Drosophila melanogaster: one gene and its partner. The protein of the gene in region 1 purifies or fractionates together with the protein of each later gene. This does not show direct contact. Each region holds a gene or a part of one and is shown on either strand. Other genes may lie near its edges. The genes, in order: Ciao1 and galla-1.

Region 1 (3,879 bases):
ACGGCGCATGTGGCGGTTACCAGTCCCAGATGAATGCAATACAACTCGTAGACGCGCACTTTGGCCGGTGACAGCTTGGGGAAGCACAACTCCGCCAGATCGTGGTAATAGTCCATTGTAAGAGCACCTGGTTCTGTTGGGGATTTCGAACCGTTGCCACTGGCTGCTCCTGTGGACAGAAAGTGGTGCTGCAAATCCACGACGGTACTAAGAACGCCACCAGACATGTCCTCGAACCAGAGGAAGTACGAGTAATGGAATGCCTTATCCTTCCACATCACTGTGGTCTGGCCCTTCTTAAGGTAATTTCTCGCGATCTCCACCATGCTCCAGAGTTTTGTCTTTGGCACCAGCTGGTTCGGTCGCAGATCCGGAGCAAGCATTTGTCCTCGGCTGCGATTGACGTACATAAAGTGCACCAGACCCGGAAAATCCTCCAAATAAGCATCAATGGATATGTTACGAGTGGCCTTAACGGCCAGAAATTCAGCGAACTCCAGTAGCTTGGCTTCCACATTCGCTGCCGTATCAGAGAGTTGATCCAGCTCATGGACACTTGAGCTGTCGCAGCAGGCCAGTGTGAATATCTGCTTCAGTTCCTCTCCGAACGAGGGCAAATTCGACTCAATCCTCACGAGCAGCTCCCGCTCAAAGTTCTTGAAGTACTCAGTGTACATCTTGCGAAGATTCTCCCATTTAGCGGCGAACTTCTTCGTGCAGTTCTCTAGGTCATCGGTTTCCGATCGCTGTTTCAGATATCGCTTCAAAGCGGTCAAGGCCTGCACAATAAACGATTCGAGGTTCTCGAAGGCGGGCTTCAGGGCATCCGAATCGCCCTGATGCTGAACAGCCACGATTTTTTGAAGCACAAAGAAGGAATCGTAGATGCAGCTGGTCAGTGGCATGTGGGCGTACTCGATGACCTGCAGGAGAACTTGGTTACCATGGAGACGCGAGATGTGCACGATACTGGGAACGCAGCCAGAGTTCACATCATAGGAGACACCCTGCAGGAATACAGCTACTGCTCGCTGGGAAGGGGACTTTGGCGCTTGCAGGGCGCGTGACATGAGGCTGAGGAAGAGTAGGTCGGCGGCAGCAAGCGGCAGAGCTTGCCGAGTGCTGTTCGCGGCCACCAGCTTGTTGGAAACGAGCAACAGGGCGTGGGCTCGGGGCAGTCCGAGCTGGCGCAAGTGCTCAAGCGTGGCGTCCAGCGTCAGATGCACTGTCCTCTTTAGTTCCGTGTTGATCAGCAGCCTGGGCATGGCCTCCAGCAGGTACGTCTGATCCTCCTCCCACAACAAAGTCTCATAGCAGTCGAGGCACTGCGTCAGCAACTCCTGTTGCATGGCCCCCGCCTGGGCGGCAAACAAATTGGCGCCGTAACAATAGCGCGTCAGCGTAATGGCCACACCCATTTGGCGACCCAGCAGCTCCACGGGTATTTGTCCGATCTTCAGAAAGGTGAAGCCAAGAAGTTCGCCGAACACCAAATTGAAGCCTTGCTCACACTGCAGGCTGGAGTAGGCATTATCGAACTGGCACTGCATTATTCGCTGAGATCCAACGATGGGGCTGAAAATCTGCAGCAGTATGTTGCTGTCCAGGGAGCCGCCGGACTGGAGCAGGCCCTGGGTGGTGGCCACACTCCGGATCTTCTGCGCCAGCGGCTCGTTAAGCTTCTGGTATACAACATCGTTGGCGCTGTTAAACACAATCAGTCCGTTCATTTTCTTATCAGCATTGGCAAAACACCAAATACACAACAAAACTTTCACCAGTGTCACTGGTGCTGGGTAACGGAATTCGGTGTGTGTTCTGATAAGAAAAGGTGAAGACTTCAAGTCAGCATTTAACAACACTAGAGCGATTCAGCTCTGAGCAATTCAACGCTTTTCAAGCCAGAATTATATATTAAAAGCCTAGTATACGTTCGACTTTTTTTATCCGAATTGCCAATTGAAATTGCTTTTAGTTGAGTTACTAAGTATTGAACTGTAATAAGTTTCCTGATCAAATTAATTTATAATTTATAATATATGAATTTTCAAATTTATTGCATTTTTTTATTATTGCAAAGCAATATCGCTTTGCTTAGATATGAAGAACACAATTTTAAAATTTAATTTTATCCCGATTTACAAATTAAGCTAGATGAACGACTTCTGCCGACGTTTGACCACACTGACGACAGCTGACTTTCTTCTTCTTGCGACATGCGCTTATGTTATCATTATTTGGACAGACAGTGATTTGTCCACTAATACAGCACTTGACCATCAATGGGACGTTTAATTCTGGAACACACGCTGCAGGGCCACAAGGGGCGCATCTGGGGAGTGGCATGGCATCCTAAGGGCAACGTATTCGCCTCGTGCGGCGAGGACAAAGCCATCCGCATTTGGTCGCTGACCGGGAACACTTGGAGCACAAAGACCATCCTATCCGATGGCCACAAGCGCACTATTCGCGAGATCCGATGGTCTCCATGCGGTCAGTACTTGGCCTCGGCCAGCTTTGATGCCACCACGGCGATCTGGTCGAAATCCTCGGGAGAATTCGAATGCAACGCAACATTGGAGGGTCACGAAAACGAGGTGAAGAGCGTTAGCTGGTCGCGATCCGGCGGACTACTGGCCACCTGTTCGCGGGACAAGTCCGTGTGGATCTGGGAGGTTGCCGGCGATGATGAGTTCGAGTGCGCCGCCGTTTTGAACCCGCACACACAGGACGTGAAGAGAGTGGTGTGGCATCCAACCAAGGACATTTTGGCCTCCGCCTCGTACGACAATACCATAAAAATGTTCGCAGAGGAGCCCATAGACAACGACTGGGATTGCACAGCCACTCTTACTTCACACACAAGCACGGTTTGGGGCATTGACTTCGATGCTGATGGCGAGCGCCTGGTTTCCTGTAGCGATGACACCACAATAAAGATTTGGAGGGCCTACCATCCCGGAAATACAGCCGGAGTGGCTACGCCCGACCAGCAAACCGTGTGGAAGTGCGTGTGCACAGTGTCCGGGCAGCACTCGCGGGCTATCTACGACGTGTCCTGGTGCAAGCTTACAGGTCTGATAGCGACTGCCTGTGGCGACGACGGCATTCGTATCTTTAAGGAGAGCAGCGACTCCAAGCCAGACGAACCCACGTTCGAGCAGATAACCGCGGAGGAAGGCGCTCACGATCAGGACGTAAACTCGGTGCAGTGGAATCCTGTGGTGGCCGGGCAACTGATATCATGCAGCGATGATGGCACCATTAAAATTTGGAAAGTGACCGAGTAACATAAGGATTATTGTTTGATATATTTAAGTGGGTAATTCTGGAACTTAATTTTTGTACAGTGTCTGCGTAATAAAAAATTAAAGTATTCAAATGATGGATGAAGTGTGTCATACACGATTATGGGATGCATTACACCTAATATGGATTGCTATTTGCTGAGGAACGGTTCCTGCAACGTTTTGTACAGCTTCTTGGCCTTCCGGGGACCCAGTCCCATCACCTGGGAGAGTCGCTCCTCGCTGGCATTGATTATGTTGCCCAGGTTGCCAAAGGTGTGCAGCAAGGCGGCAGCATCAGTCTTGTTCACCGGCTTGATGTTGGTGAGAGCAGCGAGTAGCTATGGACATTGGGATATTGCATTACAGTGGCGATACTGGCAATGTAAACATGCGTACCTTCTGGTGTGGATTAGACTCCACTCGCTCCATGATCAAATCTGGCGGACGCTTCTCGAACTGTTTGTACGTCTCAATGATTTTGCCCGCCTCCTCAGCGTTCCAGGCCAACATCATTGTCAGGTCGGCTAACAGTGATATCCTGGTCAAGCTCTTGAGGGCATTGTTTGGCTCTGGTGTGTCCACCTGGACC
Region 2 (5,093 bases), 5.8 Mb from region 1:
ATGTCCAGGCCCTCGATGTTTTTCTCTGCCCAGATGGCACTTAGCGTGTTCAAATCGAACCCATTCTCGGCCAGCACAATGCGGAACTTTACGGCACGCACACGATGGTACAGAGTGGTCTTGAAGTAGTTCAGGAACACCGGACGGAAGGAGTTTTGACGCTCCAAATTTTCGATCTGGATATCCAGCTCCAGGACATCGGACACCACCAACTTGGCAAACGGACGTATGGCATTAAACATATTCTCCAATGCCTCCGAGCTTTTTGGTTCCGGCTTGCCGTCGGAGTTGCTCAGCTGAAGGGCCACATCAAAGGCCAATTTGGCACGAACACTGGCATTGCCATCAAACAGTTCCCGCTTACCCTGAACGGCGTTCTTGCTAGATTGCTTATCGTCACCATTGGTCACGGTACTGTCCCTGGGGGATATCGATACCGAATCGGACACCATACTAGATCCAGATCCCAAGCCAGATCCAGATCCAGATGTGGACGCAGAGCAAGCCGCGTCTTCCTCCTTGGTCGTGGACAAGATCTTGGAAAGCTTTCGCAGACTGTAGTTCTTTATGTTGGCATCGCCAATGGAAGCCTTGGCCAGATTGATGCTGTTTGCAAACGACTTCACCGACGCGGTGAAGCGCTCCAACAGGCCGTACTTCTTCAACGACTCCAGGATCATGTAGGGAATGAACTTGCGCTCTTCATGATAGATAAGCACAATCCCGTCCGAGCTGGGACCCGCCTTGGTCTTCAGTTGCTCAAGCCAGTTGAGGAAGTCCTTGAGGGCAGCGATCTCAGACTTGGATTTAATGATCTGAGAGGATATTGTATGTTGAATTGTGGATGCTTCAATACTTGACTGCCACTATTAAATGGACTGGACTGCACTGGACTCACCTTATAAGTCTGCATCGACTTCAGCATACGATAAAAGCCAATCGAAATAACACGAACTTGATGACGCTGGCGAGCAGCTGGATTCAGATTCATATATGGCATGATGTACTGCTCGAAGTGGTCGGTGGGTGTATAAGCGGCCAGCTGGACAATCTGTGGGTTTATCGCAAGTGGGGTTAGGACCGAACGACGAACGATCTAACGGCAGTCAGGGGGTATTACCTCATCCATTAGACGACGTCCAGTGGTGTCGATATCCACGCCCACCAGGATATAATTACCGGCCGGCAGCTCAACTTTATCGCCCACGGGCGACGAGGATTGATCGGCGACGGCAATGGCCACTCCGGCATCGATGTTATCGGCAACCATTTTCTTATATGATCTGCGAAAAGCAATCTAGAAAATTCGGATAACGAAATTAGCTGAGTCACTAGAATTTTTTTTTTTTAAGGAACCGATTTCCTTTGCAAAACGCGAACCGCTTTCACTAGATTTTCGATATGAAGTGACGGGCTACGAATTTTCAAGAGTCTATTAAACCCAAAGCTACAACTAACGGTTTTCTTCCAGTGGCGCCATCTTTTACACAGATGTTTTTATGTGTATGTATGTATGTTCACTTTCACCACACTTTAGCACTTTTCTTTTGGGCTCACCTTTATTGAACTCCTTTTTCGTGTTGGTTTCGATGGGCTCTTTCGCTTTTTACGAACTTTTTCCTTTATTTTTCAAAAGGTTAAAGCGAAATTTGCTTCTGTTCGACGAGCTTTCACAAATAAGAAACAATTCGTACGACTAACTAAAACGTAATGAATAATTTCCTGATGCACCCGACGGCCTAGGAAAAGTGCGCGAATTTGACATATGCAAAGCCTGCTAATCGAGGTTTTTGACTTAAGTACGATGGGTTAGACAGCTGCAACTCGTCCACATCTTGCCACAACGCCCACTGTGCAGGTGAAAACTTTTTGCAGAATATTTTTACCGCTGCTATAATAAAATATAGTCTTTCAGCTTGTAAATAAATTTTTTTCCAATTATTAGCCGGCAAAATTGGTGGGTAAACAACAAATATTTGGACAAAAGCGCAGACAAGAACTGATAAGAGGATCAGGGATGACGAATTTCAAATGGTTGCGCCAGAGATGACAGGGTATCGATATCACTATCGATAGACTTATCGAAGACGGCTTAGCACTTATACCTACTCTGCAGCCCTGGTCGGCAGAAAAACAATAATCAGCTGATGCCATCGCTTATTTCCAACAATTTGCACCGCAAAAGTGAAGAATTACCAAGCAAATAGATCGCCTGCCGACCGAATTATGCTGCTGTAATCACCCAAGCACACAACGGTAAAGATAAAACCAGGCGAGATAACACCACGCACAGGTGCCACAACATGCTGTCCTACATAAAGCGCAAGCTCTCCGAATCCGACAGCGGCGTCAGTTCGGTCGCAACTGTGACGTCGTCGTGCGGCGGCGATAGTGGGAGAGCGGGCGGAACGGGCAGCAGTGAAAGCGGTACGGGCAGCAGCAGCGCCAGTATCAGCGGACGCAGCCAGAACGCCGACGAGTTAGTGCGCAAAACGAGCCAGATGTCGATGGATGATGAGGCCATTGCCTTCGGGGAGGACGCACTGCTCCATGAACTGGGCTACAAGAATCAGACGGAACTGCAGGAAACCATCTACGGTTCGATATTTAATGGCATTCTTTTTCACTTTGGCCTAGTTATGTAATTTCTCTTGTCGTTACACAGATCTGTTGCGCGGCATTCGCGATCCCGAGAAGCCGTGCACTTTGGAGGACCTCAACGTTGTCTACGAGGATGGAATCTTTGTGATGCCGCCCACGCGCTCCAATGTCTCAGTTGTACGTTACTCAATATCTTTATAAGCCATAAGCTTGAGCCCTAATCATCATTTCATCATAAGTTAAATCTGCGCGTGTGTTTATTTGCTTTCATCACTATTGTTGCTTAATATTTGAAAGGATTAACGATTTAGCTTCAAAATGACTTTAAAATTGATCTCATAGCTTAAAGTACTTGTATTATACTAAATCCACACCTCATAAATCTTTTGTGTAGTAAAAAGTTGAAATGCATGGTATTTGTCTCTTAATTCTTTCAGGTTCGCATCGAGTTTAACCCCACAGTGCCACATTGCTCGTTGGCCACGCTTATTGGACTCTGTATACGCGTGAAAGTAGAACGCGGACTTCCGCACAACATAAAGCTAGACATATACATCAAGAAGGGAGCGCATCAAACCGAGGAAGAGAGTAAGTTGGACCAACCAGATACTATTATCATACATATGTGTTCTAAGTAAAAATGATTACGTTTCCCCAGTTAACAAGCAAATCAATGACAAGGAGCGCATCGCTGCGGCCATGGAGAACCCCAATCTGAGGGATTTGGTCGAGAACTGCATCAAGGATGAGGAGTAGCTCTCTTTGCCATATCTTTTGTACATAGGGAATACTTTGAGGAATGTCTAGGATTAAGTGTACCATTAAGTTGCATCAGGGAGTGTGTGCTTAGCATTAAAGCCCTTAAAATCTGTTAATCGCTCGGCCGTTTTGATTCCACCAGAATATCGATTGCTCAACGTCCTATCTATTTTCCCGCCTATGCTGCTTACTGATAAGGTCCCCCGGGCCCAACAACTCTCATTGTTTACATTGTGCCGAAGCGATATGGCCGTCGGACATTCGGCCCAAGAAAACCGTGTGCACATCGGTGTCATGGCGGGTGAATGAATCTGAATCGCAATCGTATCGATGGGCCGGCCATGTTGGGCACCAGCCAGACGGCGTGTACGTCACACGGATTTATCAGCTTCAGAAGAGTAGAGAATGTTTGGGGCGTAACGCAGGGTAATCACCTGCCGTTGGCGCTGTTAAGTTGAGTGCATGACACACATTCGACTCAACTCGACTCGGCTAATTTCTTTGCAACTCTCCGGTTTCAGTGAGCACTTTGTTGCCATGACTGTCGCTGTTTCTGCTCCAATTTGCATTTCCGGGGTTTTCCATTTGTTAAATTGCACTGCACTTCCGCTCATTTCGCTCTTACTGCTCCCCCCACCAAAGTGGCAAGCCATAAATATTAAGCAATATCAATTAGTTGCTTGCCATCGCGCTCAAAATGCTTTAAACTAATTTCCAAAGACTTAGGCAAAAAACATCCCCACCAGCAATTAAAACCATCTGGCGCTGCGAACTTTTTGCCATGACACCGCTGGCCAATATTCACGGAATGGAAACCGGACCAGAGCAGACCCTTCGTGCCCCTAAGGCGTGCCGCGTGCCTCAGAAGGCGAGGGAAAAATAATAAAAATGAATGCGCAGACAAAAGCATATTGCGAATATTACGCTAATTGGCGACTGCAATCAAAGCGGACCTCGGCCTGGACACGTCGGCCGAAAGGAATAGGAGTGGCAGACACTAGCTTCTCCCAGCCTTCCAGCAGCCGTGTCGCCAGCCTGACCATGACCGAAGCCATCGGAGAAGCTTGTGCCCCCCAGCTCCACCACGCGGTTTTCAGGTGAACAGTAATTGGAGGCAGACTGGTCTGCTACTTGTTATCAATCTATATTATGTGGATATCCGTATAAAATAAACACTTTAAAACCAATATTTAAACTGATTACATTAATACATAATAGTTGATAATCATAATTCTTGGAATAGATAATGAGTAGAATCCATTTAATATGAGCTACTGGAGTGACACCTTTAATAACCACCGAAGAGCACGTGAACAGAGACTTGGGACACAGCCATAATGACTCAGTTGACACACCGGCAATGGCCCAGGAAGGAGTCATGGGAGATGATGGCCTGGACTGCGACAGAATTTTATGTGCGAAAAATGCATAATTTATTCTGTTAATGCATATGCATTTAAGCCGAGCCAACAACTGCAGCAATTCCCCAGGATTTGCTGACCGGCAATTGTCATTTGTGCAGCGGTCAAAGTGACCCATTTAATCCCGTCCTGCAGTGCCCGCCCAGTGCCACGCCCCTGCTCCCACAACCCCCGGGTTACATAACCCCCGAGTACATAAGTAGGCAAATGCAATGAGTCCGACTCCAAGTCACAGTGGCCCGAAGACGAGGGGCACAGATTGCGGCCACCGAGATTTCCTTCCGATACGCAATGCTGTTAAATTGTATGCCA

What was found.
Region 2: the proteins of Ciao1 (region 1) and galla-1 purify together in Drosophila melanogaster (affinity purification with western blotting; 2 studies listed by BioGRID, with this or other methods). This does not show direct contact.

The regions. Positions count from the first base shown.
Region 1 is NT_033778.4:14,853,363-14,857,241, reverse strand, and holds Ciao1 (Ciao1), read left to right. Parts: upstream 1-2,193; 5' UTR 2,194-2,282; coding exon 2,283-3,290; 3' UTR 3,291-3,379; downstream 3,380-3,879. Other genes in the region: HPS1 (Hermansky-Pudlak syndrome 1), read right to left, coding at 1-1,730; Ercc1, read right to left, coding at 3,440-3,628, 3,687-3,879. UniProt on the Drosophila melanogaster protein: Essential component of the cytosolic iron-sulfur (Fe/S) protein assembly machinery. Required for the maturation of extramitochondrial Fe/S proteins.
Region 2 is NT_033778.4:20,669,081-20,674,173, forward strand, and holds galla-1 (galla-1), read left to right. Parts: upstream 1-2,123; 5' UTR 2,124-2,303; coding exon 2,304-2,598; intron 2,599-2,665; coding exon 2,666-2,778; intron 2,779-3,038; coding exon 3,039-3,189; intron 3,190-3,259; coding exon 3,260-3,357; 3' UTR 3,358-4,415; downstream 4,416-5,093. Other genes in the region: exu (exuperantia), read right to left, coding at 1-815, 899-1,051, 1,121-1,270. UniProt on the Drosophila melanogaster protein: Component of the crb-galla-Xpd (CGX) complex which is essential for proper mitotic chromosome segregation in early embryos. The CGX complex is also required for cell proliferation in developing wing disks.